Arabidopsis thaliana: one gene and its partners. The protein of the gene in region 4 interacts with the protein of the main gene of each other region in a pairwise test. Each region holds a gene or a part of one and is shown on either strand. Other genes may lie near its edges.

What was found.
Region 1: the proteins of AGL62 (region 4) and AGL90 interact in a two-hybrid assay, tested with the Arabidopsis thaliana proteins (one large-scale study listed by BioGRID).
Region 2: the proteins of AGL62 (region 4) and AGL36 interact in a two-hybrid assay, tested with the Arabidopsis thaliana proteins (one large-scale study listed by BioGRID).
Region 3: the proteins of AGL62 (region 4) and AGL38 interact in a two-hybrid assay, tested with the Arabidopsis thaliana proteins (one large-scale study listed by BioGRID).

The regions. Positions count from the first base shown.
Region 1 is NC_003076.8:9,988,304-9,996,575, forward strand, and holds AGL90 (AGAMOUS-like 90), read right to left. Parts: upstream 4,468-8,272; coding exon 3,811-4,467; intron 3,688-3,810; coding exon 3,382-3,687; downstream 1-3,381. UniProt on the Arabidopsis thaliana protein: Probable transcription factor.
Region 2 is NC_003076.8:9,339,706-9,348,201, reverse strand, and holds AGL36 (AGAMOUS-like 36), read right to left. Parts: upstream 4,418-8,496; coding exon 3,317-4,417; 3' UTR 3,191-3,316; downstream 1-3,190. Other genes in the region: AT5G26640 (anaphase-promoting complex subunit 11 RING-H2 finger protein), read left to right, coding at 28-161, 307-361. UniProt on the Arabidopsis thaliana protein: Probable transcription factor.
Region 3 is NC_003070.9:24,251,323-24,259,457, reverse strand, and holds AGL38 (AGAMOUS-like 38), read right to left. Parts: upstream 4,530-8,135; coding exon 3,693-4,529; 3' UTR 3,601-3,692; downstream 1-3,600. Other genes in the region: XTH17 (xyloglucan endotransglucosylase/hydrolase 17), read right to left, coding at 1,139-1,511, 1,607-1,800, 1,915-2,262; AT1G65295 (ubiquitin carboxyl-terminal hydrolase), read right to left, coding at 7,404-7,667, 7,808-7,891. UniProt on the Arabidopsis thaliana protein: Probable transcription factor involved in the development of gametophytes and seeds.
Region 4 is NC_003076.8:24,300,383-24,310,145, reverse strand, and holds AGL62 (AGAMOUS-like 62), read right to left. Parts: upstream 4,766-9,763; 5' UTR 3,818-4,765; coding exon 3,494-3,817; intron 3,202-3,493; coding exon 2,626-3,201; 3' UTR 2,430-2,625; downstream 1-2,429. Other genes in the region: ARF4 (auxin response factor 4), read left to right, coding at 97-262, 364-1,052, 1,147-1,337, 1,420-1,588; AT5G60430 (antiporter/ drug transporter), read right to left, coding at 7,078-7,293, 7,506-7,760; SIZ1 (DNA-binding protein with MIZ/SP-RING zinc finger, PHD-finger and SAP domain-containing protein), read right to left, coding at 9,354-9,393, 9,479-9,614.

The DNA of each region.
Region 1 (8,272 bases), about 14 Mb from region 4:
GCAACACAATTAAGTTGTGTATATGGATTCTAGAAGATGCCGAGAAACATGAATGGTCGAAACATGTCTACACTTTAGGGGATTTGGCTGTGTTTAATCCCAAGAATCATTTAATCCTTGGAGTGATTGCTACCGGTGAAATTGTTTTCTCAATGAGATATACATCCAAACCTTTTTATGTTTTATACTTCAATCCCAAAAGAAACACTCTCCAAAGCGTTGAAATCCAAGGTTTGGAGAATCATCTTAGAGTTTACGCCTTGGTGGACCTTGTAGAGGATCTTTATGTTAATGATGTGATGCAACTCATCTCAAGCCATGCAACCCAAGGCCAACATATCATTACGCAAAGGCCAAACCCATAACAACTACGTCAAACATCTCAGGACCTCTGTAACTCTTCTCCCCCTGAGATGAACAACCATCCGACAAAGATCCGAGTCGTTCCTGCGAAACGAGTACGATTTATTAGTTAGTTAATCTGGAGTGAGGATTGGTTCTGATGAATCTATAACTATTTTGGATAAGTGTGTAACTTCTCTCATTTTACAGGCTTTGTGTGAGTTTTATCGCTATGTTGGCCTAGCATTTTGTTCTTTCTTGTTATCATATCCTAATTGTAGTGTACTTTGGAGTTTTTAGCAAACTAATGTTTTATCCTACATTGCGTTTTTTTGGGATCTTCTGTCAATATTTATTTTCTATTGGTTTCTTGAATGATTGCTGAAAAGACTGTCAATATTAAAAGTGTTAGGGATGAAGTAGCTCAGGGGGAGAAAGTTTCAGGTTTCAAATCAGTTTTATGAGTCATGGTTGATCCTTCCTTCTCCTGTTTGTTTGGCTACTGACCTCGGATTTTGCTTCTAAAAGATGTTCTGGAAACTCGAAAGCGAGATTTCTCTAACGAAATAAAGATCATTTTCTGGTTCCTTGTGGTGTGATAGGAATTTGTCCTCAAAGTTGGCTGCTCGCAGATTATATCATTTCGGATCTGTCATGGGAAATTAGCCATAAGTTTCAAACCATAAACCCAAATCCCGCAAATAATAAGACCAATCGAAAAGTCGGTGCTTATAATTCATACAATTAATGGAGACAAAGAATAATACTTTTGGAGGAAGACTTACATAAGTTTAGCCCATAGAATTGTTACAAAACTCGTTGTAAATATTTGACCACGAGTAGTTAATTACTTTAATGGTTTTCATGAATTAATATTTGAAAGGTGAAATAACTTTTTTACCACATGTTATGTTATTTAAGGTTTTTGTTGCTATAACGGTTTTACCATGTATAATTTGTTATCTTTTTTTACTTCTTTTGCTCAATTAGATTCCCTTTCGAAATCCAGAAAAAAAAATTTCCTTTTGGATCGATGCAAGAAAGTAGAAAAGATTCTCTTTGCTCATTTGGTTAAGGTCAGGGTCATACCTTAATTAAACATTTTGTAATTGACACTTAAAATGGAATATCTTTTCAAAACCAAATACAAGTAAACTAATAATTTTTATCCGTAAAAAATAATTAAAAAAAAGATTAAGATGTTGTAAAATATAATAAGTGAACTCTACACAAGATTAATGCATATTTAAGAAAAAACAAGCAATACTAAAATCATATTATACAATTATTAATGTATGATACTAATGAGATCATATAATTACATAGAAGTTTTTAAACAAAATATTATTTTATCGAATTATGTTAAACATTATATTAGTCTGACTCGAGATTGAAAAAAATATTAATTTATAATGATTATTAATTTATCAAGTATTAATTTATAGAGAATTTTTTGTATAAACTATTCAAAGTTAAACTTCAATTTACAATTGTGCTCACTTGATATATTTTTTGTTCTTTAAGTTAAACCCAGAAAGCAAAAAAAAAAAAGTCGCTTTGATTAATAAATCAACAGATTACAGTCTAAACTTAAGGTAATGCTTTTTTGCTGAGATAGAAACAAAGTAAACCTAAAAACAAATATGAAAGAATCAATCAACAAAGAGGAGGAAAAAAAAAAGAATCATTCATGGTAGATTTGATGAAGAAGCGATTGCTTTATATATACAGTTTTATTACAAAATACAAACAAAATTTTATCAAATTATCACCCTCGATTTTTCAACATAATTTAAAATAACACCAGATGATTAATATTTGCACAAGCCAACAAATATGTAATGAAAACCCTTAAAACTAAATCTTCACAATATGCAGGAGCAGACTATATAAAAGACTAATGATAATTTTGTTTTGACATTAAAAAAACAGTTAGATTTTATGCTGAATATTATCACATACACATATATACTGTAATCAATGTTGTGATGGTGTGTAGATGTATTTTTTGCAAGTTTTTTTCTTATCAAAAGTTTTATTTTTCCTAAAACAGTATTTAGGTGATTTACACAGATCTCTAATATTATCTATATAGTTATACATTTTTATTATAATTGAAAGACTAAAAACTACCCACACTTTTTTTCTTTTAAAAATGACTTAGGGTCTAACTGGTGCAAAATTTGGAAGAAAAAATTTTCTACCTCATTTTTTTGAGCCCAAAAGAATGGGAACAATGTTAAAAAAAAATCGACCTAGGCACTGATCGTTATAGGCTCAAGGCTTCTATCAAAATCCTAACTAGCGCCTAACAATTTTTTTAACATTGAATAAGAGTAGTTCTTTTTTATTTTATTTTGTTATCAAATTATTTTTTTCCAAAAGAAAAAAAGATTATTGTTGATTTTGCCATTTTTTCATAGAAATCTTTTGAAATTGTCATTTTTACTAAAATCTTATGGATATGCCATTTTCTAACATTAAAAAAAGTATGTATTTCCGATTTTTTTGGTAAAAATACGTAGTTTATATAAAATATTAAATCCTAAGAACAAGCACAACCGACTAAACCCAAACATAACGAATAAAACACATGTTAAATCATATTTTCGTAGTGTGAAAAAGGCAAAATCTACAAACTATTCAGAAAAGGGCAAAATCCACAGATACCATCCCAAAAAATGGTAAATCCATAATTGATTCAAAGAATAATATTTCTTACTTCAAATTGCTGGGGAAAACAATTATTCTCTACGTATGGGTCCTAAAAGAATTCAAATGAAAACTTTCGTCTAAATATTGTACCAATCACACATTAAATTTTCGAAATAAATTCCACAGTTAAAGTTTCCCACAATAATCTTTTTTTTTTGGGCAAAACATTACTTAATAATCAAAATACATAATTAAGTTAAAAAGAGACCCTTTAACCATTACAACCATTATTAATAAACAACATTAGTTTTTGTCTTTCGAAATGAAGAAAACACAAATTCAAACAACTGAACACTTAGACTAGAAAATCTCCGTCTTTTGTGATTAGAGATTGTTGTTGATGTAAGGATCATAAACATCGGTGGTTGAAGGCATGTAACTGGTGGAAGCAAGATCAACGGCTGGTAGTTGATTGTAGTTGTAGTAGTTTCTGTCCACGAAAGGAATGCTTTCACGCCCTCCAACATGATTCATATGTTGTTCCACCATCGGATTCATGAATGATTGTTGTTGATTCAGATACTGATTTGAATTCAGATTCAAATTCAGATTCAAATTTATGTTGTAGAATTCTCGTTGAATCTGATTAAACAGATTATTAGGAGCCTGGTATTGAACCTGATTCATATTCTGATTTTGATAAAAATCACAAACGTTAGTAGGAACAAGGTGTTGAAACGGTTCATGCAGATTTTGACTCATATTCATATTTTCATATTGAATATGATCAGAAAATCGACTGGGAGCAGTTACCGCATTTGCGTCCGCATCAAGAAAAGGAGTCATATCGCCCGCAAGAACATGAGGATTGGTAGCATTAGGAGTATCTACAACCCTAGTTGTAGAATGAATAGGAGAGTCGGAAAACGACTCATCACCAATTTCGTCAACACCAATTCTAGTAGGAAAAGGAGAGACGGAAGACAACAACGACTCACCGTTTTCTTTAATGGACTCGATCCTTCCGTTAAGCTGATCGAGATATAGATTCATACAAGATAGCAAATCTTGAAGGTCTTTTGCATCATAACGATACTGGGACATTTTGCCTTCAACACAATCAAACATAAATCGTCTAACCTGTAATTCTCGGTTCTCAGCAGCCAAATTCTTTAGTTGCTCTTTTGCTTTGGTAATCCTCTCCATAAGATGGGTTTCTTGATCCATCATCTTCCTGGTTCGGGCTGTCCGCGGCATCTCCAGAAACTTTGAAGCTACCTTTTTAGCACCTTCCCTTGACGGCCATGACTCTGGAACCGGTATGAATGGACTATAGATGAGAGCACAAGCTTGGACACCACATAGAGTTGACAACTCGTGGAGTTTCTTGAATATCCCGTTTTTCCTCTTCATGAAGGATGTTTTCCTTGATCTTTCATTAGCTATCAAAGATAGCTTTACCTTCTTCATCCCCATCAATATGTTTTTTTGTTTTGTTTTGTGTGGTTTGTTTAATTTGTTTACTCAAAGAATGTTTATATAGCAAAGAAAGATGATTTTATAGTCACTAGGATTCTTATCACTTTGGTGGACTCATTAATTCTAAATAACATCCAGGAAATCTCTTATCAATTAATTGACCAGGTAATTCATTATTATCTATATAAAAATATTTTTTCTTATCTAAAGTTTGGCTCGTCTGATCCTAAATAATATCTGATGACAAAAAAAAGAAAAAAATCTATCCATGTAATATGAGGGGGCATGTAATATAATATTTTTATTTCTAAGTTTTGTTTATACTAAGAATTAATTTCTCTTACTCTCATTGTTTTTTTTTACTAAGAATAATTTCTAGCTTACTTTGTTCTTAGAATGTGAAGTTTTGTAATAGTTTTAAGTGATTGTACTTTTAAAATACAGTAATATATTGTCAATGTATATAGAATTGTGGTAAGCTAGAAATTACTCTAAAGTTTGTTATCTAAAGTAAATTTCAGAAAGTTTGTTATCTACAGTAATTTAAAGATGTACTTTGAATCATACAAATAAATTTTTAGAATGGGCAAACAATTTGAAAATATGCAAAGAACATCTCACATAAACGCCAAAAACTTTGAATAATTGTTATGAATGCCCTTTCAACACTATCCTTTTCAATAATGCATTTTCTTATTTGTTATTTTCATTTATACTTTCTCTTAATTTTTAATGACCATTTTACCCCTATTTAGAAAATGTTTTAAGTAAAAAATGAAATATTAATTTTTTCCCGCCAAAAATATTCTGAAAATAAATTTTCCGCCAAAAGTTTCCGGCCAAAAAATTTTAAAAAAAACTTTTCTGCCAAAAAGGTTTCTTAAAAACATTTTTTCCGCAAAAAAAAATTATAAAGGATTTTAAGAGATTTTTGAAATGAGATTTTAAAGGGTTTTAAAAGATTTACAAGGGATTTTAAAAGATTTTTAAAAAAGGTGTAAAAGAGTTTTAAAAGATTAGGGATTTTAAGAGATTTTTATAAAGTGTAAAAGGTTTTTAAAAGATTTACAAAAGATTTTAAAATATTTTTAAAGGGTTTTAAAAGATTTACAAGTGATTTTAAAACATTTTAAAAAGGTTTTAAAAGATTTACAAGGGTTTTTAAAAGATTAAAAAAGATTTTTAAAAGAATTTTAAAATATTTTTAAAGAATTTTAAAATGGTTTAAAAATTATTAAAGGGTTTACAAGAAATTGAAAAGATTTTTAATGGTTTACAAGGGTTTTAAAGGACTTACAAGGGTTTTTAAAATATTTTGTAAGAGGTTCATAAGAGTTTTAAAATGGTTCAAAATTTATTAAGGGGTTTTAAAAGATTTTTAAATTGTTTACAAGGGTTTTAAAGGATTTACAAGGGTTTTTAAAAGATTTACAAATGTTTTTAAAATCCTTTTAAATCCTTTAAAAATTCTTGTAAATCTTTTAAAATCATTGTAAAAGGTTTTAAAATGTAAAACAAAGGTTTTAAAATGGGTTTTTAAGTATTTACATATATATTTAAAAACTTTATAAAGATTTTAATAGGTTTTAAAATGATTCACAAGGGTTTTTAACAAATTTACAAAGCTTTTAAAACACTTTATAAGGATTTTTAAATGCATGTTTTTAGCTGGAAAAAAATTTGTTACAGAGAAAAAACTTTGGCGGGAAAAAAAACTTTTAGCGGGAAAATTTCAGTTTATAAATTACTTGTTCTCATTAGATGAGAGTAATTTGGTATTTTTGCTCAAGAGAATGAGTATTTTTAAAAATGGACTACATATAAGGATAAAATCAAGAGTTTAATACATTAATATGACTACATGTATTTATTTATTTATTTATTAATAATGACATATAAAAAAATTATTTATGAAAATTATTTACATTTAGAAAATATATGCATAATTTGGGTAAAATCAAGAGTTTAATACAGTAATATGATTTTTGCTTTTTTTATTATTTTTTACATTCAAATGGATATTAATGCAGGTACACATGTATAAACATGATTGGATATAAAATTATAATTTATAAAATCATGTGGATATTATACCTTTTGGGGCATTGACCAGATATTATATATTTTTTATTGCACTTTTAGAAATAAATTTTACCAGCTAATAATGAAGAGTAATTTAGCTGGCATTACCATATTTTTTTATCTTATTTATATCCCTAAAATAAATAGCTTTATGTAGACATGAGAGAATTGGTAAGAAAATATGATCCAATTATAGCTTTGGAACCCACATTTAAGAATTTTAGACTGCTTTTATTAGTTATCAAGATAAAAACATACAATTTCAATAATATAATATCTTAGCTTGTAGAAAAGTTTTGGTAGAGGTTTGTTATCTGCTTCAAAAGAGATTTATGTAAATGTCAAATTGAAAACTATTTGAAAGAACGAATTTTGTTTTTTAAGCGTTGCGATTTTTGCGAAACCAATTTTAGATGTATTAAATAAATAATTTAGAAGTACATATATGAATTTTTGGTGTTTTCTTAACTTATTAACAAACAATTATTTGTTCTAAAATAATTAAGATTGTGAATAGTGACCCAGAAAACTATTATAAGAAATATAATTAAATTCTTTACTTTAATATGATGATTATTAGGCTATTATGACTTTATAAGTAACGTTATAGAGTTGATAAAATGATAATGAAGACAATATTTTTGACTTTGAGCGTTATGATGTTTGTATTTTGAGTTATTATAGATATACTATACAATGTACTATTATGTGTTTGATTTTGTTGTTAAAACAATATTTTTAATATATGGTTTAAAGTATGGTGTTTTATATTTTGATCTTTCCAACAAATATACACTTTCCAACAACTTCACGATCTCGTTTTCATATTTCTTAGCCAACACCGCCGCTCCATCGATTTTTCTGATGGCCAGAAAATGTGTTGATTTAGTCAGACGGTCCACGATCACCCAAATAGTATCTTTGGTCCGCGATACAGGTAACCCAACCACGAAATCCATCGTGATAAAATCCTACTTCCACTCAGGAATGGGTAAACTCTGCAACATGCCACCCGACACCTGGCAAACATCACACTCTGCGACCTAGTTAGCTACATCCCTCTTCATCCTAACCTACTGATAGTACCGCTTGAGGTCTCGGTACATCTTAGTCGCTCCTAGATGAATGGAAAACATGCTCGCATGAGCCTCACTCAAGATCTCCTACCGCAACTCCTCATCATTAGGCACACAAACTCGCCAATGCACAAGGATAGTCCCATTAGCTGCGAACTGATACTAAGAACCCTCTACCTTAGAAGCCGCAATCAACCCCTCATCCTTTTCCTGAGCCAATCGAACTCTACTAAGAAGATCTGCTCGATCCACAGCCTTCAATCCCAATGGCTCCCTTGCAGCAGCACACAACCGCAAAACACCAATCTCACTCACCATGGCTTCAACACTCTACCCTGGAGCCACACCCACGCGCTTACGGCTCAACGCGTCTACAACCACATTAGCTTTACCAAGTTGGTGGGGTATCTCCAGATCATAATCAGCCACCAGCTTCATCCACCGCCTCCGCCTCAGGTTCAGCTCTGGCTGAGTGAAGATATACTTCAGACTCTAATGATCCGTGAACACCTGCACTTTCCCGCCATAAAGATAAGACCTCCAAATCTTCAAGGCAAAGATCACCGCATCCATCTCCAAATCATGAGTAGGATAATTACCCTCATGTTTCCTCAACTGCCGCGATGCATAGGCAATAA
Region 2 (8,496 bases), about 15 Mb from region 4:
AAACTATTACATTGTGAGAAACTTTAGATGGCATGGGGTACATGGGATGCTCAAGATGAGACATGTGGGTTATGTCGGATGCCATTTGATGCTTCTTGTCCTGACTGCAAACTCCCTGAGGATGATTGCCCTCTAAGTAAACTCCTCGGGGATTATTGCCTGTTAGATTAGATATATGAGAATCTTATATTTGTATATATCTAATATCTTATGAACAGATTTATGCTTATCTCATGTAACCCTATATATATATGTTCAATACATAACTTTCCATTCACGGAGATTCATACAATTACATGGTATCAGAGCTATGGCCATTGCCCTATGTGTCGTAGAAGATGGAAATATAAAGAGTAACTAGAGTGGGAAGAGAGAGATTTTATATTGCGCCTTGATTAGACATCTAGCTTTGTATCCACTTTATAGAGATGTAATAAATCATTAATCAGAGTTAAGTTCGACCTTTGTATGAATATTAATGGAAGCAACTACAAATAGCAACAAAAATGTAATAGAGATTTTGGTTCATGACATGTGGCTAAAGAAAAGAAAGATAATTTGTTTCATGGATATATTGTTCTTTTTAATATTTAGCACCCAATTTCAATTTTTTTCGTTTTAACATCCGACTAATTTTGAGAATATACATGCTCCTTTTAAGAAAAATTAGTGAATCTATAACAGTAAAAAATTAGAAATTAATAAAGCTTAACCTCTATAAATTAATAATATCGAAATTATGATATTTCAATATTTATACAGTTATTAATTTATTAATTAAATGATCTTAAACACTTATTAGGGATCAAAGATTTTAATCTATCGAGTATTAATTTATATAATTATTACTACACCCAAATAACCAAGTGCCGCATGCTTAGAGTTTACATACTGTAAAAATAAAATCTTGAGTTGTACCAAATTTATATAATTAGTTCTTAATTTAACGTAGCCATTTGAGTTTCGGCCCAAGTGGTCAGAGGAAAGGTGTGATAGTTAACTTTACCAAATTATTATTTTTGGATATTATGAGGTGTTTTGGGCCTTAATCACTTGGCTAATCTCTTTAGGGTGAGTGTAGGATCGATTAGCCCACTCACCGAGTTTTTTAATGAGTACTTAAATCACGCTCCTCTCCCTTACCTCTGCCATATCTTTTAGAGAGGGAAAGCTTCTTTTTATGACATTGATCAGATTGTAAAATAGATTTCTTTGTTTTGTCTCTTCCAAATCATATCTTAGATCTATAGCTTAGGTTTAGTGACTTGTTGTTGTTCATCTCTGTATTTGTTTCGGACAATAAAATTCCAACTAAGATCGGATCTGTTTTGTTCTCTTCTTTCTACATACATAAACTCAAATCGCCGCAGCTATTGGTTAGATCCTCTTTGTTCACCGTCAGCTCAACTCTTCTTATATATATACGAGAGTAATATCTCCACATGTTTATCCATGGATATAGGCCTATTACGGCCAAAGGCGAAGCTTCCTACTATAGGAGCAGATTGAGATTATGAAGATTTGTTTTTTCTCGATCTACTTCAAGATGGATTCGATGGGGTTCTCTCGACTTTAGCAACGGGCAGCGCTGTAGAAGAGGAGCGGTGGTGGATCTGAAGTCTGGCGGCGGAGCTGCGCTGATCGTGGATTTGGCTAGCTACGTTTGTGTCATCTCATCTCCTTCTCGCGTGTGGACACGTATACCGCACGTAACACTTTTTTAATCTCGTCCTTATCTTTAAATTTTAGTAGGATAAATAGACTTCAATTTAAATTGAAGTTGTAAACGCTGGTGGTTTGGGCTTTTTTCATCATCTATATAACTCAATGGGCTTTTCATTTTTATGAAAATGATCTTGTGGACAAAAAAAATGAAAAAATAAAAATAATGAGACCATAAATCATAGCACTATTTGCAACTAAACCTAATTAAATTTACTAATAATTTTATAACAAAATACAAACAAAAATTTATCAAATTATTACCCTCGATTTTTTAACATAATTTAAAATAACACGAGATGATTAATATTTGCACAAGCAAACAAACATGTAATGAAAACCCAGAAAAACTAAATCTTCACAATATGCAGGAGCAGGCTATATAAAAGACTAATGATATATTTGTTTTGACATTAAGAAAACAGTTAGATTTTATGCTGAATATTATCACATACACATATATACTGTAATCAATGCTGTGATGGTGTGTAGATGTATTTTTTGCAAGTTTTTTCTTATCAAAAGATATTTTTTTCCTAAAACAGTATTTAGGTGATTTACACAGCTCTCTAGTATTATCTTATATAGTTATACATTTTTGTTATAATGGAAAGACTAAAAACTACCCACACTTTTTTTCTTTCTACATTTTTCTTCACAAAATAAAGTCATGGAAAGTCATGAAAATTAGGAACCAATAACACCCCCTTAGAGTCTAACTGGTGCAAAATTTGGAAGAACAAATTTTCTACCTAATTTTTTTGAGCCCAAAAGAATGGGAACAATGTTTAAAAAATTGACCTAGGCACTGATCGATATAGGCTCAAGGCTTCTATCGAAAGCCTAACTAGCGCCTAACGATTTTTTTAACATTGAATAAGAGTAGTTCTTTTTTTTTTGTTATCAAATAATTTTTTTCGAAAAGAATAAGAGATTATTGTTGCTTTTGCCATTTTTCATAGAATTTTTTTGAAATTGTAATTTTTACTAAAATCTTATGGATATGCCATTTTCTAACACTAAAAAAAGTATGTATTTCCGATTTTTTTGGTAAAAATACGTAGTTTATACAAAATATTAAATCCTAAGAACAAGCACAACCGACTAAACCAAAACATAACGAATAAAACACATGTTAAATCATATTTTCGTAGTGTGAAAAAGGCAAAATCTACAAACTATTCAGAAAAGGACAAAATCCACAGATACCATCCCAAAAAATGGCAAATCGATAATTGATTCAAAGAATAATAGTTCTTACTTTAAATTGCTGGGGAAAACAATTATTCTCTATGTATGGGTCCTAAAAGAATTCAATTGAAAATTTCCGTCTAAATATTGTACCAGTCACATCTTAAATTTTCGAAATAAAATTCTACAATTAAAGTTTCCCACACTACGGTGAGCAAATACATTACTTAATAATCTTTTTTTGGGGGCAAAACATTACTTAATAATCAAAATACATAATTAAGTTAAAAAGAGATCCTTTAACCATTATTAATAAACAACATTAGTTTTTGTCTTTCGAAATGAAGAAAACACAAATACAAACAATTGAACACTTAGACTAGTTCTTCTCCCTCTTTTGTGATTAGAGATTATTGTTGATGTAAGGATCATAGACACCGGTGGTGGAAGGCATGTAACTGGTGGAAGCATGATCAACGGCTGGTAGTTGATTGGATGGTAGTTGATGGTAGTTGTAGCAGTTTCCGTCCACGAAAGGAATGCTTTCACGCCCTCCAACATGATTCATATGTTGTTCCACCATCGGATTCATGAATGATTGTTGTTGATTCAGATACTGATTCGAATTCAGATTCAAATTCAGATTCAAATTTATGTTGTAGAATTCTCGTTGAATCTGATTAAACAGATTATTAGGAGCCTGGTATTGAACCTGATTCATATTCTGATTTTGAAAAAAATCACAAACGTTAGTAGGAACAAGGTGTTGAAACGGTTCATGCAGATTTTGACTCATATTCATATTTTCATATGGAATATGATCAAAAAATCTACTGGAAGCAGTTACCGCAGTTGCGTCCGCATCAAGAAAAGGAGTCATATCGCCCGTAAGAACATGAGGATTGGTAGCATTAAGAGTATCTACAACCCCAGTTGTAGCATGAATAGGAGAGTCGGAAAATGACTCATCACCAATTTCGTCAACACCAATTCTAGTAGGAAAAGGAGAGACGGAAGACAACAACGACTCACCATTTTCTTTAATGGACTCGATCCTTCCGTTAAGCTGATCGAGATATAGATTTATACAAGATTGCAAATCTTGAAGGTCTTTTGCATCATAATGATACTGGGACATTTTGCCTTCAACACAATCAAACATAAATCGTCTAACCTGTAACTCTCGGTTCTCAGCAGCCAGGTTCTTTAGTTGCTCTTTTGCTTTGGTAATCCTCTCCATAAGGTAAGTCTCTTGATCCATCATCTTCTTGGTTCGGGCTGTCGGCGGCATCTCCAGAAACCTTGAAGCCACCTTTTTAGCACCTTCCCTTGACGGCCATGACTCTGGAACCGGTATGAATGGACTGTAGATGAGAGCACAAGCTTGGACACCACACAGAGTTGACAACTCGTGGAGTTTCTTAAAAATCCCGTCTTTCCTCTTTATGAAGGATGTTTTCCTTGATCTTTCATTAGCTATCAAAGATAGCTTCACCTTCTTCATCCCCATCAATTTGTTTTTTTTTTTTGTTTTGTGTGGTTTGTTTAATTTGTTTGCTCAAAGGATGTTTATATAGCAAAGAAAGGTGATTCTATAGACACTAGGATTCTTATCACTTTGGTGGACTAATTAATTCTAAATAACATCCAGGAAATCTCTTATCAATTAATTGACCAGGTAATTCATTATTATCTATATAAAAATATTTTTTCTTATCCAAAGTTTGGTACGTCTGATCCTAAATAATATCTGATGACAAAAAAAAGAAAAAAATCTATCCATGTAATACGAGGGGGCATGTAATATAATATTTTGTATTTCTAAGTTTTGTTTTTATTTTGGCGAATTAATTTCTCTTACTCTCATTGTTTCTTTTTACTAAGAATAATTTCTAGCTTACTTTGTTCTTAAAATATGAAGTTTTGCAATAGTTTTAAGTGATTGTACTTTTAAAATACAGTAATATATTGTCAATGTATATAGAATTGTGGTAAGCTAGAAATTACTCTAAAGTTTGTTATCTAAAGTAAATTTCAGAAAGTTTGTTATCTACAGTAATTTAAAGATGTACTCTGAATCATACAAATAAATTTTTAGAATGGGCAAACAACTTGGAAAATATGCAAAGTACATCTCACAGAAACGCCAAAAACTTTGAATAATTGGTATGAATGCCCTTTCAACACAATCCCTTTTCAGTATTGCCCTTTCTTATTTGTTATTTTCATTTATACCCTTTTTTAATTTTTAATGACTATTTACCCCTATTTAAAATATGTTTTAGGTAAAAAAATGAAATATTGATTTTTCCCGCCTATAATATTCTGAAAAAAATTTTCCGCCAAAAAATTTCAAAAAAACATTTTCTGCCATAATATTTGTTTTAAAAAAGATTTTTCCCGCAAAAAACAAATTTCGCAGGAAATAGATTTACAATGGATTTTAATAGATTTTTAAAATGTGTAAAAGGGTTTTAAAATATTTATAAGGGATTTTAAGAGATTTTTATAAAGTGTAAAAGGTTTTAAAAAGATTTACAAAGGATTTTAAAAGATTTTTATAGGGTTTTAAAAGATTTACAAGTGATTTTAAAAGATTTGAAAAGGGTTTTAAAAGATTTACATGTGTTTTTAAAGATTAACAAAGATTTTTAAAATAATTTTCTAGAACTTTAAAATGGTTCAAAAATTATTAAAGGGTTTACATGAGATTTTAAAAGATTTTTAATGGTTTACAAGGGTTTTTAAAACATTTTGTAAGGGGTTCATAAGAGTTTAAAATGGTTCAAAAATTATTAAGGGTTTTTAAAAGATTTTTATATGGTTTTTAAATAGTTTTCAAGGGTTTTAAAGGATTTAACAAGGATTTTTACAACATTTACAAATGTTTTTAAAATCCTTGTAAATCTTTTAAACACTCTTGTAAATCTTTTAAAATTATTGTAAAAGGTTTTAAAATGTAAAACAAAAGGTTTTAAAACGGGTTTTTAAAGTATTTACATATATATTTAAAATTTTTATAAAGATTTTAATAGGTTTTAAAATGATTTACAAGGGTTTTTAACAAATTTACAAAGCTTTTAAAAACCTTTACAAAGATTTTTAAATGCATGTTTTTAGCTGGAAAAACATTTGTTACAGAGAAAAAAAAATGGCGGGAAAAAAATTTGGCGGAAAAAAAAATATTTTGGTAGAATTTTTTTTTGTCAGGGAAAAAATAAATTCGGCGGGAAAATTTCAGTTCATAAATTACATGTTTCTCATTAGATGTGGGTAATTTGTTTGTTTTGCTCAAGAGAAAGAGTATTTTTAAAAATGGACTACATATAAGGGTAAAATCAAGAGTTTAATACATTAATATGACTACATGTATTTATTTATTAATAATGACATATAAAAAATTATTTATGAAAATTATTTTTATTTAGAAAATATATGCATAATTTGGGTAAAATCAAGAGTTTAATACATAAATATGATTTTTGTCTTTTTTTTTATTTGTAAAATTATAATTTATAAAATCATGTGGATATTATATCTTTTGGGGCATTGACCCGATATTATATATTTTTCATTGCACTTTTAGAAATAAATTTTACCAGCTAATAATGAAGAGTAATTTAGCTGGCATTACCCTATTTTTGATCTTATTAATATCCCTAAAATAAATAGCTTTATGTAGACATGAGAGAATTGGTAAGAAAATATGATCCAATCATAGCTTTGGAACCCACATTTCAGAATTTTGGAATGCTTTTATTAATTATCAAGATAAAAGCATACAATTTCAATAATATAATATCTTAGATTGTAGAAAAGTTTTGGTAGAGGTTTGTTATCCGCTTGAAAAGAGATTTGTGTAAATGTCAAATTGAAAACTATTTGAAAGAACGAATTCTGTTTTTTAAGAGTTGCGATTTTTGCGAACCCAAGTTTAGATGTATTAAATAAATAATTTAGAAGTACATATATGAATTTTTGGTGTTTTCTTAACTTATTAACAAACAATTATTTGTTCTAAAATAATTAAGATTGTGAATAGTGACCTAGAAGACTATTATATTATAAGAAATATAATTAAAATTCTTTACTTTAATATGATGATTATTAGGCTATTATGACTTTATAAGCAACGTTATAGAGTTGATAAAATGAGAATGAAGACATGGTCTATGTTTTTAACTTCGAGCGTTATGATTAGGGGTGTCAAAATGGGTCAGAATTCATGGGTCAACTCAACTCAACTCAACCCATGATTCCTAATTAGTTGAAATTTTTGACTCAAATGAGTTGATGGGTCAAATGAGTTATTGGGTCAATTGGTTTGATGAGTAAAATGAGTTGGGTTGTAATGGTTAATGGTTTCAATGGTTTACCCAATTAACCCATCAAATTTTGTAAAATTGAATTAAACCAAATAAAATCTCTAAACCAATATCAATTTAAGTTTAACCAACACATCTAAACCAATTTAAGAAAATCAATATTTTTCCAAATTTCTTAAATATACAAGAGATGAAATTGAGAAGACGTAAACTCGTAATTTATCCACCAAAAAACAGAAATCCGTAATTTTCCCGACAAAAACGTAAATCCGTGATTTTCCCGCCAAAAACGTAAACCCGTGATTTTCCCACCAAAAACATAAACCCGTGATTTTCCCACCAAAAACGTAAACCTGTGATTTTCCCGCCAAAAATGAAAACCCGTGATTTTCCCGTCAAAAACGTAAAACCCGTAATTTTCTCGCCAAAAACGTAAACCCGTAATTTTCCCGCCAAAAACGTAAACTCGTAATTTTCCCGCCAAAAACGTAAACCTGTAATTTTCTGCCAAAAAACGTAAACCCGTGATTTTCCCGCCAAAAACGTAAACCCGTGATTTTCCCGCAGAAACGTAATCCCATAATTTTCTCGCCAAAAAAACGTAAACCCGTGATTTTCCCGCCAAAAACGTTAACCTGTAATTTTCCCGTCAAAAATGTAAACCTTTAAAAAATAGAATCCGTAAATATCCTAAGTTTGATGATAATGAATTAATAATTATTAAAAATGATAATTATTTAATAGTGTTTTATAATAATAATTAATTAAATTATTACTTAAATGGATTAACCCATTTTGTTAAATGGGTTGAGTCAACCCATAACTCATTTAACCCTAAACTCATTTGATTATGAGTTGGGTTGAGTTTGATTACCCATTTTGACACCCCTAGTTATGATGTTTGTATTAATTGAGTTATTATAGATATATTATACAATGTACTATTATGTGTTTGATTTTTTTGTTAAAACAATATTTTTAATATATGGTTTAAAGTATGGTGTTTTATATTTTGATCTTTTTTTTTTTTTTGATCTTTCCAACAAATATACACTTTCTAGAAAAATCAGAAAAATCGCCTCGGCAAACTCATTAATTTCTAATTCCATGCAACCTAGTTTTAAGTCATTTTTTTTATCTTGACGTGCTCGTTAGATTTCTTTCTTTTGTGTTAAATTACTATTGTTTTATTACAAGATTAATGTAAGCTTTTTGTCACATGATAAAGTAATTTTATGTAACATAGCAAACTAATCGG
Region 3 (8,135 bases), on a different chromosome or scaffold from region 4:
AGCTAGACTCTGTTAAACATTAAATAGATGAAATGTGTGGTGGCATTTTTTTTTTTTTTTTTGTAGTATATATGTAAGTTTAGTTTCATCACCATTTCATCAATAAGAGCTTATAAATTATAAGGTTTTCCTCTACATACATTTTATCATCAAACAGGTAAATCAGTTAAAAAATGGAAGGCAAGACTGTAAAATCATAATGAGTCTTTTCATGGCACAAATTCAAGTAGTCCGAACAAGCTCAACTTGAATATAAAGTCTGTCGTCTGATGTCTATATCAGGAGTTATTGTGAATCAATGACTGGATGCAAAGTCGGTCCAGGGCCATGTTCTGTGGGATATCATCATGTCATTCCCAAAACAGAAGGTAAATTGATTTCATTCTATTATGCTGTATTATTGTTATTTATTACAAAATAGAGCAAGATTTTATTTTTGATGCAAGTTGTATGTATTTTTTATTTTTGACTCAAGGTGATACTGTTAGTGAATACTGCAAGTTGGGGTTGGGGTGTGCATACTCTGTGTGCAGCGTCTTAATAACCACTCTCGAGAACTCAGGTAAAGCAAATTCTCCGAACTCATATATTATAATTATTTTTGTTAAGTAAAAGATTATGTACCAAGAACCATATAGTATTGTTATTATAACTGGAAGATGAGAAATTGAGAATACAATGTATATTGATCACCAGAACAATGTATCAATTTTAGATACAATCGAACATATATTGTTTACCAAAAAACTAGTAAATCAGTGCAAGTACATGAAAGAATTTAGTGTTCTTACTGGGGAGAGTATTAAAGTACCTTCATATCAGATAGATCAGTTCTTCATATTAGTAAGCCTATGATTTATGTTCTTCCAAAGCATTATTGTAGAATTAATGAACTCCTCTACCTATGTTTTTAACTTTTTAAAAAGTCTAGTGAAGCCGGCCAGTTAAATTTAATTACGTTAACAAATGAAAGCTTTTTTCCATAATTTATTTTTATTACTTCAATCTTAAAACATCTTACACAAACACCACATACTGTATATATGAGCAACAAATAAATGATAAAAATAAATAAAAACTTGATTGAGTTACAAAGGCAATGCCAAGTAACATATTCATGTATCAAAGAATCAAGAATTTAAGTGCACTCGGCAGGAACTCCTCGAGGAAACCTTCTTTTATCGGTGCAATAGTTGTAGATCATGTATTTACTTTGCACACCTTTCATTCTTGTCTGGCCGTTCGAATCGAGTTTTTGAGTGAACCATGGGGAATTCGCGGAACAAGATGATTTTCCATTAGCCCATACACATCCATCGACATTGTAGTTTCTATAAAAAGCAGTAAAAGGAGCTTTTGACCAATCTGTTTTCTCTAATCCTCCTCTTGTTGCCCAATGCTCGGCTTCCCAAAGACTCGCGTAGAGTCTCATTGGTTGTCTAGTTGGGAACGGGACTCCAATCGCCTCGGGGTTCTTGAACTCTCTAATAGGAATTCCATCAACCGTAAAACTGTAAGAGGGGCAAAAACAGAAGAGAACGTAAGTTCATGAGCGCATAGCCTCAAAACATATAAGATTATACAAAGTATCAAAGGTTACGCTTACATAATCCTTTGAGGATTCCATGTGATGCAATAAGTGTGAAAGTTAACGGTTGGGTCGAACCATAGATGAAATTGTTGTTCTTTGTCTCCTGTGCCTTTTGTGTAAACATTAGTATGGAGAGTATATGGATGACCACTTATGTTTCCCAAGAACTCGAAATCGATCTCATCCCACGTAGTTCCCGGAGATTTTAGCTACACAAAGTCATCATAAACACAAACATACTCAATTAATGTAGGCCTAAATATATGTACTATAGGAATAGCAAAAGATGACAAAAAACGGTTTGAAAATTGTATGTAACTTACATAGAATGTTGTCACTGTTCCAGCTGAATTACCAGGAACAAGTTTCATTTGAACCTCGGCTTTGCCATAGAGAAACTCCTGGTTAGACTGAAAACCGGATCCAGAGGATTTGTCGAGCGAGAGAGAAAGAAGTTTTCCATCTCTGTCGTGAATCTTTCCGCGGCCATCACCCCAATGTATCTGAACGTCTTTGTGGAAGCTACCCGCATAGACATGCACAGATTGTGCCGCAAGAAGAAACAGAAGTAAGAACGCAAAGCTTGTACCACAAGAAAGCTTCATTTTGTTCTCACAGGAGTATTGATATCTCAAATGTATTGTTTGATGGACAATCGAGGTAAGTGACATTAGTATATATAGTGTTTGGAAATGTTAAAAGAAAGAGAGAAGGAAGTTTCATAGGTTTGATTATTGATCGTGGGCTGTATTCTAGTTGGCTCATTCGACCTCTTGTTGGTTGTTACAAATTGAAGCCAATAAAATATAATTTCATTACTCGTTTATTGTTACAAAACAGAGAAAATAATGTATATAGACATTCGTATATCACATGCTGGTCCCGCATTGAGATCATTAGATGGAGCCCATATATCGCTATTTTCAACTTTTATAATTTGTAAAGTACATTACTCTAAGAATATCTTTTGGTATTACAATTATTTGAAAAATATAAGAAATTCAATTGGTATAAAAACATGGTTATAAACTTTCTATTGGTAAAAATAATAAAAAAAGAGTTATAAGTGATAAAATGTGGTGCTAAGATAACTCACAAGAGTTCTAAAATAGTTTCAGTATTTGACATCATAGGAAGGTTATTTTGAACACAAAGTTCAATAGTTAAAATTTGCTAAGAACTACTGAATTCGTATATGTTTAAGCACCTATAAAACTAATTAGATATGTTTCTTTTTCTTTATACTGTTTTAAATATTAAATTAATGTAAATATTTGAATACTGTATTATCCTAAATATATTAATTCATTGTATTTTTTCTTTTAGTCATTTTTCTTAAAATGTAATTAAAAACAAATAAATAGGGCTCCTAGATGGTTAAGCCAAAACAATGTTGACCTTCCATTGCTTGATCTGTCCAAAATGGAGAGTGTGGATAGTTCTGGCCGTTTAAATGTTAAGCCATAACATTACGTTCTATCCAACAAATACTACAAACAAAAAAGTAGTTGCATGAAAAAAATTGAATGCTATTAATTTGAATCACTTGTTTACAATCGATACAAGAATTATAGTTTAACATCAATTGCAATAATCGATGTCGTATTAGTTTATGTGGCATCAGTTCACTAAAATTGATACAAATCTAAATCCATTTGCATCACTTGATACAAATATACGATTTTAAATTATTTAGAAAGTGATATAAAATTTAAATCAATAACAACCAATACTAATTAAATATTAAAAAAATTGTTTACCAAGTGATGTAATTGTTTACTCAATTTGTCTATGTCTCACATTGCTCCTATGGGAAAATGAGGCTTCATAGTTTTTTTTATTTAGTGACCTTAGTTTTTGATGGTGTAAAATAAATGTAAAGTGTAATAAACAACTTAAAGAGAAAGTTTTTGATGGTGTTAAAAAAAATGTAAAGTTTAATAAGGAACTTAAGAAAGGGTAAATAAGATAAGTGTGGACGCAAGAATTGTCCAACAATTAATAATAATAAAAAAGACATCACATATAAGTTTTGTCTTATAAAATGGAGAAAACACAAATGCAAACGATCAAACACTTCACTCGAAATACATCCCTTAGACTAGAGATCATTGGTGATGTTAGGAGCACAAACATCAGTGGGGGCAGTGGTGACGGTAGCGAGACAATCGATTTCGGGGTGGTAGTTGTTGTTGTCCATGCAAGGAATGCCCTCGTCCTCTCCATCATTAAGATTTTGATTCAAATCCAAAACCATACTTTGATTCGAATCCTTATTCATATTCATATTAAAACCATGAATTTTCTTTGGAATCTGATCATAAAAATCATAAAGAGCCTGATATTGGAATTGAACCGGCTTTTGCTGATTTTGATTATGATATTGAAACATAGGACCATCAAATCCGACTGGTGCAGCTGCATTCGCAACAATAGGAAGAGGTAAAGATGAAGAAGACTCACCGTTCTCAATAAGGATCTCAATCCTGCGAGTAAGACCATTAAGATACTTATCAATATATAAACTCAAATCTTGAAGATCCCTTCCATCAAGATTATACACATTCGTCTCCCCTTTGAGACAACCAAACATTAACTCCCGAATCTGAGAATTATGGTTCTCATCACGTAGCTTCTGCAGCTGCTCTTTTTCTTTGGCGATCCTTTGACTTATAAAAGTCTCTTGATCCACCATCTTCTTGGTCCGGTCCAACACCGACAACTCCATAAATTTCGACACCACGTCTTCAACGCCTTCCCTTGACGGCCAAGCCTCCGGGATCGAGTTGAACGGACTATAGACGACCGCACATGCTTCAACACCACATAGAGTGACTAGCTCGGTTAGTTTCTTCGTCATCCCTTTCTTCCTTTTGGTGAATGTTGTTTTCCTCGATACACTGTTTTCTATTAACGATAACTTCATCTTTCTCTTCATATCTATTGTTTTTGTTATATGTGTTTTGCTTTGTTAGCATGAGGACGATTGTTTATATACTAGATAAAATGTGTTTCTTATTGCTTTGCTGGACTATTTTCAATTTTTATTTTCAGGATATGGTATTACTTTCACCCTTACGTGTTGGCATGTGATTGATGGTAAAGTGATAATCATTTATCTTTATAGACAGCCCATATAGATATTTTACCTTTTGGGGGGCATAAAACCAGACATTTAGGGGGAAAATTGTATCATATATGTAATGTGATTTATTTTTTATATAGAAAGTCCATTTAAAGGAAAATATATATTTCAAAGGTAATTTAAGATATTTTCTTCTCTATACATTTTTCTATTTGTTATTATTTTTATTTTAATATAATTAATATAAAATGCCTAAAATTGAAACTTACAGTTACAGGTAATAATTAGTTGGATAGAAAGTAAGATTATGTCTAAGCATCTAAACAGCCAGAATCACCCACACTTTCCATTTTGGGTAAATAAGTCAATGGAATGTCAAAAATTGTTTTGGCCTAGCTATCTAGGTGTCCAATTATTCATTTTAATAAAAAATGATTAAAATGAAACATATAAGGAAATAATATATTTGATATAATTTTGTATATTTACATTAATTAAATATACAAAAATTATAGAGAAAAGAAAAACATATCCAATTAATTAGTTTTCTTGGCGGTAAATTATCTAGGAATGTCTAGTTAGCTTTAGCAAATTATGAATATTGGTATAAGATATCTATATCTAAGACTATACCATATTTTAAACTCTTGAATTATGTGAGACAACCTTAGATTTGTCACAATTTAGTAGTTGTTCTAATTAGCCGCTCCATTGAGATGGAGGAGTCTTACGAGTTCACATTAATTCGGATCAGTTTTACTAAACAAACTATTATCCACAAAAAGCTACGGAAAATTTCACAAATTAGGTCTCGTTATTCTAATCTTGACTAACATCTTATTCTTTTTCTGTCTTACAAAGATTTAAGTATTAACGTTAAATAAAAATGGTGATAAAGAATCTCATCGCCGGAGACTACATTGGGAAACATATCTCATACCTCATGATGCATCCCATCCATTTTGAGTCCAAAACCTAACTTCCGAATAAGAGGTTTATTTGGGAAACAATTTCAAGTTCTATCAAAATCTCAGTAGGTACACGTGTTAAGGCTTGTAATGTTTGGAAAATGTCATCTCCACCGTAACTCATCCACCGCAAATTCAAACTCCGCTGTAGACTCATGGCTTCATCTAGACACCTCTGCACACGGATTCCCCCTTTTGCAAATCTCTAGCAATAAATTGATTGATACTTACTCTTCTTCTCCACGTAATCCCATGAAGCAAGGGTATTACGCAGCAAATAATTATAACTTGTTTTAGAGTCATCATTTTCAAAAATGTGACTGTAGTTTAGTGGTTAGTCCCAAACATTTTACTATACAGTTTTGAATCTAATTTAGACGAAAATTTTGTAATTGTTTTAAAAAACAGTTTTTTGTTATTGGGCCAAAATCTTTTTGCTGTAGGCACTCAAATTTGGGCCCTGATTATGGCTTTGATGTGGTGAGGTGAGAAAAGTGTTTAACCAGTCCGGGGTTAGAGGTAAACCCAAAAGATCACCGCTCAAGATTGACCCGACGTGTAAGTGTATGGGTTACATTGAGTTAATCAGTGTTCTTAATCTACCTTTTTATTGTAAGAACAGAAAAACTATACCGTTCTCCGACATTTCAATCACCAATAGACTTGGTGTACTATAGACATTAGACAGCAATGTAGAGTTTAATAAACATGACCTGTGAATATAAATGCAAATTGTCCGATTTAATAAAAGCCAATCAATCACGGGGAAACTGGTATAGTCAACACTCTTAACCCACACACACATATTGACTAAATTTATCACCAAGACAACTTTATGATGTCCCATGTGTGAATAATAAATAACAATTAGTAATTAATTTACAGATCTTGCAGGTTACTTACGCTAACGCAATAGAGAGAGTTGGAACAAACATTTGACATAAAACATCTCTTACAATAATAACAGTGTCAGATAAATAAACATATTCAAAGATATTGTCTAGTCTCTGCACTTGAAGATGAATAATTGCTTTTTTACTCTTTTTCCTCTATTTTAAACTAAAACACTTAAAGATCTTATCAGATCAGAATAAGGCACTAAACTTGATCCATTTTCTTAACATGTCACTCATTACAAAGACTTAACTTTAACAGCTTCACTATCACCACCATCACCATCAATACCATCATCATCATCATATTAAATACTCTTCCAATTGCCAGCTTAACCAAACAATGACTCTTTTCCAAAATATGCTAAATTCTAACTTTTAACTTTCTTAAAACACATAAGAAACAAAATGATGAAGTAAACAAGAGAATGAAAAAAAAAAAAAAAGAGAGAGAGAAAGACAGATAGAGAGAATTGATTGAACAGAGAAGAAGAAACAAATCTTGCTTGAAGTGTGAACAAGATTCTCAAAACAAAAAAAACCCTAGAAAATTATGAAAAAATGGCAAATGCAAAAAGACAATTAATTAATGAGGATGATGATGTTGCTGAGATAGTAGGTAATGAAATTTAATGAAGACTGAAAAATAAATTATAGACAAAAAATAAGTAGAAGACTCAAACCAAGAACAGATATTCTTCTTTTTTTCCTCCCTTTCACACTTGAAGATGAATCAAGATTTAGATTCACTTGTTTCTCTCCCCTGGAATCAAAACATTCATAACCAAACATCAAAACATGAACTGAGCAGAAACTAAGAACAGAGAAGAATAAGAAACTTACAAATTACAATGAAGTAGAAGATCTCAGATATGGCAACCAAAGCAATTGCAAGTTTTGGGAGTGAAAGAACAGTAACCAAAGGGTCTATTAGGGATATTGCAGTTAATAGCATAGCAACAAGGAGAAGGCAAGCAAAGACCTTTAGCACCACCACAACAAGTACAAACTGAACATATCTGAAAACTTCCAAGTTTCCTTCTTGTTTCATTCATTACCATAAACTTCTCCTCCCCCAATGGCACCATCATCATCTCATTATCTCCTTCAGCTGGTAATACCTCATTTGCCTAAACAAAATTCCAATCAAAACCCATAAAGCTCAAAACTTTGAATTCAGGTTATGTTAAAGGTTTGATTTTTAACAAAATTAGAAATACCCAGATGTGAAAGAAGAGAACTTTAGAGGGATCTAAGTAAAGAAACTAACCTGGTGACTGGAACTGATGAAGATTGAGAAGAGAAGAAGCAACAAGAAGACAATAGAGATCTTCGATTCTTCTAAAGTTCTCATTTTTTTTTTTTTTGGTTTGAAATTTTATTTTCTTTGTTGGGTTTGGTTTATTATGTGGTTAGGGATTTTGGGTAAAGTAGCAAATGCTACTTCTCTCTCGAGCTACTTTTTTCAATTATTTTGGTTATAACATTTATGATTTTTGTAGAGAAATGTTTTTGTTTTTTTTATTGAGGGAAGAAATAATAAGTGGGGTCTTTAATTTTACTATTCTTTAATTTCTCCACTTCATTACCACACCAAT
Region 4 (9,763 bases):
CGTCCTCTCATCTTTTTGGAGTATCTGTCTATTAACGTGTAGAAGACTTTTCATTTTCGAAGATTGATATCTAAATCTTTCACATTTGTTTGGCAGGTGCGATGGGATGAGTCTTTTGTGAGTGATCATCAAGAAAGAGTTTCACCTTGGGAGATTGATCCCTCGGTTTCTCTCCCACACTTGAGCATTCAGTCATCTCCAAGGCCTAAAAGGCCATGGGCAGGTTTACTGGATACTACCCCACCCGGAAACCCCATAACAAGTAAATTATATAGACCTCTCTTCTCTTTGGAGTATATGCTTTTGCAAACAGTTCTCAATTTTCATCAGTATATTATTGATAACTGTTCTTGGTTGCAGCAGAAAGGGGTGGTTTTTTGGACTTTGAGGAGTCGGTTAGACCCTCTAAGGTCTTGCAAGGTCAAGAAAATATAGGTTCTGCATCACCCTCACAGGGGTTTGATGTTATGAACCGCCGGATACTGGATTTTGCGATGCAGTCTCATGCAAATCCAGTTCTTGTGTCGAGTAGAGTCAAGGATCGATTTGGTGAGTTTGTAGATGCTACTGGCGTGAACCCAGCTTGTTCAGGTGTTATGGACCTGGATAGGTTTCCAAGGGTCTTGCAAGGTCAAGAAATTTGCTCGCTTAAATCATTCCCGCAATTTGCTGGTTTCAGTCCAGCTGCTGCTCCTAATCCCTTTGCTTACCAAGCCAACAAGTCAAGTTACTATCCGCTAGCTTTGCATGGGATTAGGAGCACTCATGTTCCGTATCAGAATCCATACAATGCGGGAAACCAATCCTCGGGTCCCCCTTCACGTGCAATAAACTTTGGTGAAGAGACTAGAAAGTTTGATGCACAAAATGAAGGTGGCCTACCAAATAATGTTACAGCTGATTTGCCATTCAAGATTGATATGATGGGAAAACAGAAAGGCAGTGAGTTGAATATGAATGCTTCATCAGGATGTAAACTTTTCGGATTCTCCTTACCAGTGGAGACACCTGCATCTAAGCCGCAAAGCTCGAGCAAAAGAATCTGTACAAAGGTAAAACGTTTTCTTTATCATCTCTTTGGCTACTTTGAGTTGCAGTTTTAGATGTCTCTTCTAATCAGTTCTTGTGTTGAATTGTTATCAAAAGGTTCACAAGCAAGGAAGCCAAGTGGGGAGAGCTATTGATTTGTCGCGACTTAACGGGTATGATGATCTCCTTATGGAGCTTGAACGGCTGTTCAACATGGAAGGGCTTCTCAGGGATCCTGAAAAAGGATGGAGGATCTTATATACTGATAGTGAGAACGATATGATGGTCGTTGGCGATGATCCATGGCAGTAAGTTCTTTATACATACCTTCTAAAGGTCAATCACAACTTCTTTTCTCCTAACTTGAAATTGGCTTTCTGCTATGGATAGTGATTTCTGCAATGTGGTGTGGAAGATACACTTATACACGAAAGAGGAAGTGGAGAATGCGAATGACGATAACAAGAGTTGTTTAGAGCAAGCTGCTCTCATGATGGAAGCATCAAAGTCATCTTCTGTGAGCCAGCCTGATTCTTCTCCTACAATCACTAGGGTTTGATACCCATAAAGAAGCTTATTTCCTATGTTTTAAAGTGTGTTTTGCTCACAAAAGAACTTCAACTTTATCTTTGTCTTTGAATCCATTTATGTGTTTGTTTGTGTTTCTTCTGGTCTCCATGGATGTCTCATGTGTACCGTTTTACTCGAGAGATATGTGAGTTTATGGGATGTGTAAAGCATGCCATTGGATTTTAAGGTTTTCAAAATTACAATATATATATTAGTTTTGAAGTATTTTGCTTGATTTTGAAAATTTCATTTCTTAAGTTCTTACATATGTGGATACTCTTGTATTGTTCTTACAATTTTTTTATTTATTTTTAGATTGATATCTAATACATACTAGATATTTGATGATGATTTAATCTTTTTTAAGGAAAATAAATATTAGAGTATACTGCACGGATTAATTAAATAGAATGATGTGACATAGATTTAGCCTTTTTTTCAACTAAAAGTTAACCTTAATTTTATTATATTTTCCTTAAATTTAACATTAATTTTATTATATTTTCTATATTAGAATTAGATTTTTATCATTTTAGGAATATTTCACAATATCTGTATTTCATCATTATAAGGAATGAAATTAGAGGGAAAGCCATTGTAATGCTGTCATTTCATTTTTTACAATGTACCAAAATATGTGGGATAATGTATGTACTATTTTAGTTGAAAAATGGTGCACACAGAAATTTTCATTATGCTTTTTTGCAAATTTATTTTAAAATAGTACATGATTGATTATGATTATTACCTTTCTGTGTTTAAAATTCTGCAATTGCCCAAAATGCGTAAACGTAACCATGGCAGACTAGTATTTTCAGAGGCGTAATGCATTTGTTTCCGACACATATAATTTATATATAGCAATAACATAATTTTGAAATGAAACAACACAATACAACATAATACTTAAACAAGAACAAGAAAAACAACAACAACACATGTAGAAACATAAATAAGAAGAAATAAAGATAACCTAAACACACAACTTTTTGTCTAGAGACTTAAGTTGGATCACACAACAAAGGGTTAATAGTAATCAGATCTAGACTGGGGAGGATAACCATGATGATGTTCATATTCAGAGATGTTTTCTCTCTTAAAACTCTGGTTTTGGATTTGGATTTGAACTTGATTTTGGTTTTGGATTTGGTTTTGGTTTGGGTTATACTCTGGTCTGAAGTTCACATTGTATTCTGGAACAAACCCTTCATTAATACCATAAGCATTGTTTCCAAAGGGTGGTAATGCATGATTAGGGTGAATTTGGTTCTGGTTGTAGTTGAAGGCATTTATGTCCATCATTCTTCTTTGGCTAAAGAGATCCATATCAGGGTTGATATGACTACCATCATCAATCCCAAAAGCAGCATTATTACTAGAACTTCCCACATAGAAGTTTGGAACATTTGCCTGAAAAAATCTGGAAGCTTCGACTGTAACTACTTTCTTCAAATTTTCAAGATTACCTTTGAACCCCTCGAGTTGAGATAACGCAAGTTCCTCAACGGGATCTTCCCACCAATTCCCAAGGGCTTTTGTCTTTTCTCTTATTTTCTTTAACTCGTCGTACTTCTTTTTCTCTGTTTCTAATTGACTCAACACCTGCAAATATATATACAAATAAAAACACCAATAATATTATTAATTTTCATACCATATGATTCTATAACATTTCATCGGCATTTTTATCTAACATACTATTAGGATATAAATCTATTCTAGTTATGGAGAAAAAGACTGTCTAATGTTTTTTATATATTATTTATTCACCTGCGAAAACTTTTACTTATATATATTAAATAAAAAAAGAATTTAACCATAGAAATTTGGGTTTTATGATTCATAGAAAACACTATTTTGTTTTAATCATACTTAAAAATAAGAGTAAGATTACCTGAGTAAGATGATTATTCAGATCCTGAACAATCGAATTTCGACGAGTTTCTCTAAGTTGCATGTTGTTGTGTTGGTGAGGAGGTAGAGGGTTATTGTTTATGAATCGATCAATTACAGAATCAACATTTGGATGACCAAAAGAAAAGACTTTTCGACCAGGTGAGAACACAACTATGGCCACTTCTGCACCACAAAGTGTGCAAAGCTCACTAGCCTTTTTGAAAAGTCCAGATCTTCTTTTTGAAAAAGTAACTTGAAGGTTACTTTCATTTTTCATTTTGACCATCTCTATTTTTTGACGACCTTTGCTTTTTTTCACCATTTTTAGTGATATTTGAGAAGCTAAAATATAGGATTGGTGTTTGTAGAATGAAAATGCTCATGTATTTATAGCAGAATATTACAAACCAAATAATTAATATTTGAGTTGTCTATGAGTAAATTTCAACTTTGATTTATTATATTTTTATTTGAATTTGAATTTTACTATTTTTGTAACATTTCATAATCTTAATATTCAATCAATATATGGTATGCAATACAAATTTATTTGACTATTATCTTCTCATTTCATTTGTACAATGTATCCAAATCTGCCAGAAAGATCCACCTTTAATTAGTAGTGATCTTTTCATATCTAATAGTAATATTATTGGAATATTTTTTTTAAATATAGCAACAAAAATGGCGGCGTAAAAAAAATTACTAACAAGTAACAAGCGTAATATGGTCAATATGTTTTTGATTTACTGATACATCATTTTCGTTAATTGTTTAATATTCTAAACTTAATCTCATATTTTAATATATTAAAAAATCGTTATATTGTTATCTGAAATTATTTGTCGCTATTTTCTAAAGTAAAACATGTATTCTCTCGTTTTTTTTTGTTAAAGGGTCTTCTTATGTATTCTCTCGTTATTGGTGATTGATCTATTATCGATAATGAAAACTATTTATGATAAAATGATTGTATGATTTTTTTAGCAATTGTTGTAACAAATATACTCCGTTACATTATTTATGCAATCATATTCTTTGCTACTTTTTAGATAGAACATATTTTTCTTACGTTATTAGCGATTGATTTGTTATCACTAATGAAAAATATTTATGATAAAATTGTTATGTGATTCTAGCAACTCGGCCACAATTGTGATAGGTTTGAGATATATATATGATTAAGCCCGGCATGACTATGAACTATTTCTTTGTGTTCCATACACATATATCCTTCTCTCTTTATATATATATACACACTAACCTTTATATGATGTAATTATCATCTAAAAATAGTTTATTTATATATTTATTTTAAGAGAGTATATTATAAAAGATTAGATTCAAGGAAAAACATTCGATATATTGTTTATCGGATGAAATGAGTTTATGAATTTTGCACTAAATAATGTTCCTTTATGAATATAGAAAACTTAGTTATTTATGTGATAAATACAGAAAAAATGAAAATCGTCAAAAACGGATACCATGAGATAACACTATAATTTTGAGAGCTTTAAGATAGAATTATTTTGTTTGGACCGTTATATAGAATATGAAGACCATTCCAAATTCATTATTATTTCTGATAAATTGACAATAGATATATGCCGTTACATTACTTACTAACTCTGTTTTTAAAATAATAATGGAATACATTCCTCTATTGTTATTGGCGATAAATTTGTTACTGATAATAACATATATTTATGATAAAATGGTGATATCTTATTTCCAATAATATTTATAGCTCCCCTATCTCATTTGATGGATTGATAAAAATTATTTGAATGACTTTATTATTTTTTGATAATTTGAAGCCAGATTCTCTTAAATTACACAAAATATCAATTATATAGTAATTAATATGAAATATTCAACTTATCTATGTAGAATGTAAATGTCATCCAAAAATAGTGAAATGGTAGTTGTTTCAGATAATATCTCCAATTAAAATTATTTTACCGATGATAATATAATACGGGCATGTTTATTAAAGTATGCATAAAATAGTGATCTTTAAAAGAATCTTATCATAATACTGAACTAGATAGAATTGATTAATCTTAAAAACTTTCAGTATTGATTACAGTATTAAAGTTTTATCTGAGGTACAATGATTTTTGTTAACTTATTATTTTTGATAGTTAATTGGTATATTTTCTGAAATTGATTTTAGAGTTATAAATATTATGGTAAATATAGTTATACTGATATCATAAAATAATAAATATATATGAGATCTTTAGAAATATGTGATTGAACTAAATATCTTAAAATTCTTATTTATGAAACTTTTAAATAGTTAATATACCAAATAATTTAAAAAAGGAAACAATAATTTTCTACAAATATAATCCATAAAATTTAGACGAGACAAACTACTTTTGCAGTAATTATTAATTTGTATATTTGTTATATAAGATAAATTCTTCAAAATACCACATTTTTTAAGTTTTGTTGCCAAAAATGTCACTATTAGTTTAATATTTCAAAGATACTACCAAAAAAAATTTGTTTTTCAAAAATACCACAAAACAACAAATTGATGTCCAAGAGTTCAAAATTTAAAATTTTAGGTTTGGGTTACCTATTTTAGATTTAGGGTGTAGTTTTTAAGGGTAGGATTTTAGTGTTTAAGGTTAGGATTTGAAAGTTGAAAATTTAATTTAGTTTTGTGATATTTTTGGAAAACCAAAAACTTAAGTAGTATTTTTGAAAGATCAAACTTAAGTGTGATATTTTTGAGAACTGTTTGCTATATAAACATATTTGCGTACTTTAAGAAATATTATTTATAGAAAACTGCCAAAGGATTAGAAAAATTCACTAATATATACACATAATTGAAAGACCTTTTATACTCTTTGGTAACATATTTATTAGTATGTAAAATAAAAATACAAATGGTTTTAGTTTAATCAAATAAAATGTAAAAAAATAATATAAAATATTGAAGTCTTTAGACCATGACTAATAACCTAGCGGTATTTGCTAGAATCATCGTTGTGTCATTGCCGAGATGCAATTCCAATTAAAATAATTAATAAATCATATAGAAGAAAATCATACAATATTTTATATTATTACTCCCTAAAATAATGAATTCCTGAGTTTTTCACCAAGATTTAGAAAATTATAAATTATATATTTTGATTAATTATTTTTGTGCTATATCTTTTAAAAAGTTAATCTCAAGTTGCTTTTTGCTCCACTTATCTTGAAAATAATAAATGATGTACTTTGATTTATTGTAAATTTAAAAGCATAAATTAATTGATTGATCTTGAAAATAAAAATGCGTTAAATATACCACGGAAAATCAATATTTTGATACAAAAACAAAACCTCACGAAATCATTCTTTGGAATGAATAAACCAATCATATGATATGATACATGACATTCGAACATAAGGAACTGCTATAGGAACAAAAGTTTCCCACATTAACCTCAAAGGCTAGTCTCTCTAAAATCATGGGACTAAGAGCAAGTCCAGTGATTAGTTTCTAAATAAAGTTTCTATGTATTTTTTATTAATAAATTTGGATAGTTTTGTAGTTTAGAGATTTTTTTAGAGTTTTTAAAGATTTGGTGGTCCATTGGTGGAATACTTAAGTGGGTTTCTAAAACAAAAAAAAAAATGAAAAAAAAGAAAATTTGTTGATATTTTTATACATAAAATAGATGGGAGAACCTGTGAAAGACTGAAACTGCCATCTACAAAATTTTGTTGGTAGAGCCCAATATTTGCTCCATCTACTATAGCTTCGTAATCTCCATGTTTCTCAAGCCAGTCCTGCCAAATAAGATAGCAACATTCAATAAATATCGACATTTGAATACTCAAGATTGATGACAATTCGCAGTAGAAACTCCAAGCACTATACCTATCTCTAAATGCTTATCAAAGTTAACTAAACAAAAAGTAAACTTTCATTAATATTTAATGTCCAAGACTTATTATAAGCAAGCTAAGAGAATCAAGGAATCATCAATTCTTTCTCTAACCTGAAACTCGCTGAAGACCACATCTGACTCACATGAATTCATTTTTGCCTTCCTTTCCATAGCCAAAGCCACCAAAGAATCCACAAACTTCTGTGTTTCTACCTCATTGGTATCTACACAAGCTAACTGCTCACTGCAGCTCAAACATCTTCCTGTTGAGCTAACATTACCTTTCTTTACAATCCATTTTCCATCACCAACCCACCCATGCCCGTGCCACCCACCTCCATTCTTCAAAACAGCTTCTCTAAGCATCTCAACATCAGAACCAATGCCATAAATCTCAATCTGACCAAGTGTTTGTCACTCCTGCGTAAAAACAACGGCAACACAAGAGAATCCATTTCCTGAAACTGAAACTGAAACTGACAACAACCACCTTTGTACCTTGCATTATGTTAACTACAGAATCATTACGTGATTGAATCATTACATGATAAAATACAGAATGTATTGTATGAGAATCATTACGTGATTGAATCAATAACCCATGTCGATACTTTTAAGTTAACTAGAGAGAATCAAAAACTTTTTAAAAATGAAGCTCACTCGCACATACAACTGAACAGAATTTTGCATCTTTTTCAACGAAACGGATCTGATCTTTTTCAAAAAAAACTTGAAGACCACATCATCTAATGATTTTTAACAGCTTCTCAATCAACGATCTATTGCAAAATGCAGAACCTAACAACACTTACAAATTTATCCAATCCTACATTTATGCAAATTTTCCCAATCAATCAAACAATCTTGAGCTTCAATTTCTTGAAATAAGATTAAGTACCAAAAATTGCATAAGATCAAAAAACTTACCGGAAGAAGAACAGAAGCCAGAAGTGGAAGAGTCCAAGCTAACAAACTCGTCGTCGGAAGAAGACTTCGAGTTCGAACCATCACCACCGGAATCAGAAGGATGAGGACTCGCCGTGATTGTGATCGGCGGAGGAATCGGGAACAGAAACTTCTCCAAATCAAAAGAACCGAGTTTGTTTTTCGATTCCAATTGGAGTCTCTGTCGGAACACGAAGAAATGAGAAGGAAGAAGAATGTGTTTTTTTTGTTTTTTTTGAGTCAAAACTTTTACCCAATAAAGTGAAGCCACGTATGGGTTTCTATTGGGTCGCGAAAAACCCAATTTTAGGAACGCTCCTAAATGGATTGTTCTGTTTTTCTTTCTGTTGGGCCCATTTTACTTAGAAATCTAACATAAAAACCCACTAAAAACCATTGCTGGACTTGGTCTAACACACCACGAACCACATCATTTTGCACATAAACAGAATACAACGAGCACACTTGTCCAGGATGAACAACGAAAGGATTGGATTGGATTGTCCGCAAGGATTAAGCTTATAACAGTTGTTATATCCTTAAACGAGCATCATGTAGTACTGTTGTCTTCTTTGTCTTTGGCAGAGAAGTATAATGCTTCTGGGCTTCTGGCTTTGACCATAACCATGAAGTTAATCACATGCAACACAATTTGCAATGGAGGAGAAGAGCTGAATTTTTCTAATTAATAAATAAAATTTGGAGCCCATAATTTACATTGCTATATCTCTCTATAGCTCCTGGCTTCGAAGTAATTTTATCATCGTCCACACAAAAAAAACCTATTTCGAGTATACAAACTACTAATTAAATCGGAACCACTGTGCCCACTTTTCTTTTCTATCAGAGAAACTAAATCAGCCAGTGCTTCGCTTTGCAAATTACATCCTGCAGTGTAGCAGACAAGGCCAAGATTCTGAACCGATATTGAAGAGAGAGTCAACAACATCATACAAGTGAAAATATCAATACCGGTTCAATTCTTGCCTGCACAGAGAATTATGCAAATCTTGTTTAAACTCCGGTGTCTTGTCTGATGATCCTGTTCATTGTTCTGTGCATAGCGTTAAGAATCAAAAGGAACACCGAATCATCCCAAGAGAGACACAACAGAACAGACAAATCAGGAAGAATATTACTCAGAATCCGAGTCAATGGAGAGGTACATCCGAGGTCTTACAGAACGCTTCTGGCGAGGAAATGAAAATGGATTATCTGATCTTTGCTTCTTTGCCTTGTCTTGTCTACTGTCATTCATACCCAGAAGCAACGACGCTGCAAATACGCAGTAATAGTCAGTAAGTATACCACATGGACTATGGACATATATAAAGTAGCATATTCAAAGACAAAATACGCCACATAGAAACTAAAACAGATATTTCTTCTTCAGTTGTTTATAAGACCTAGCTAGCAGCTTAGTA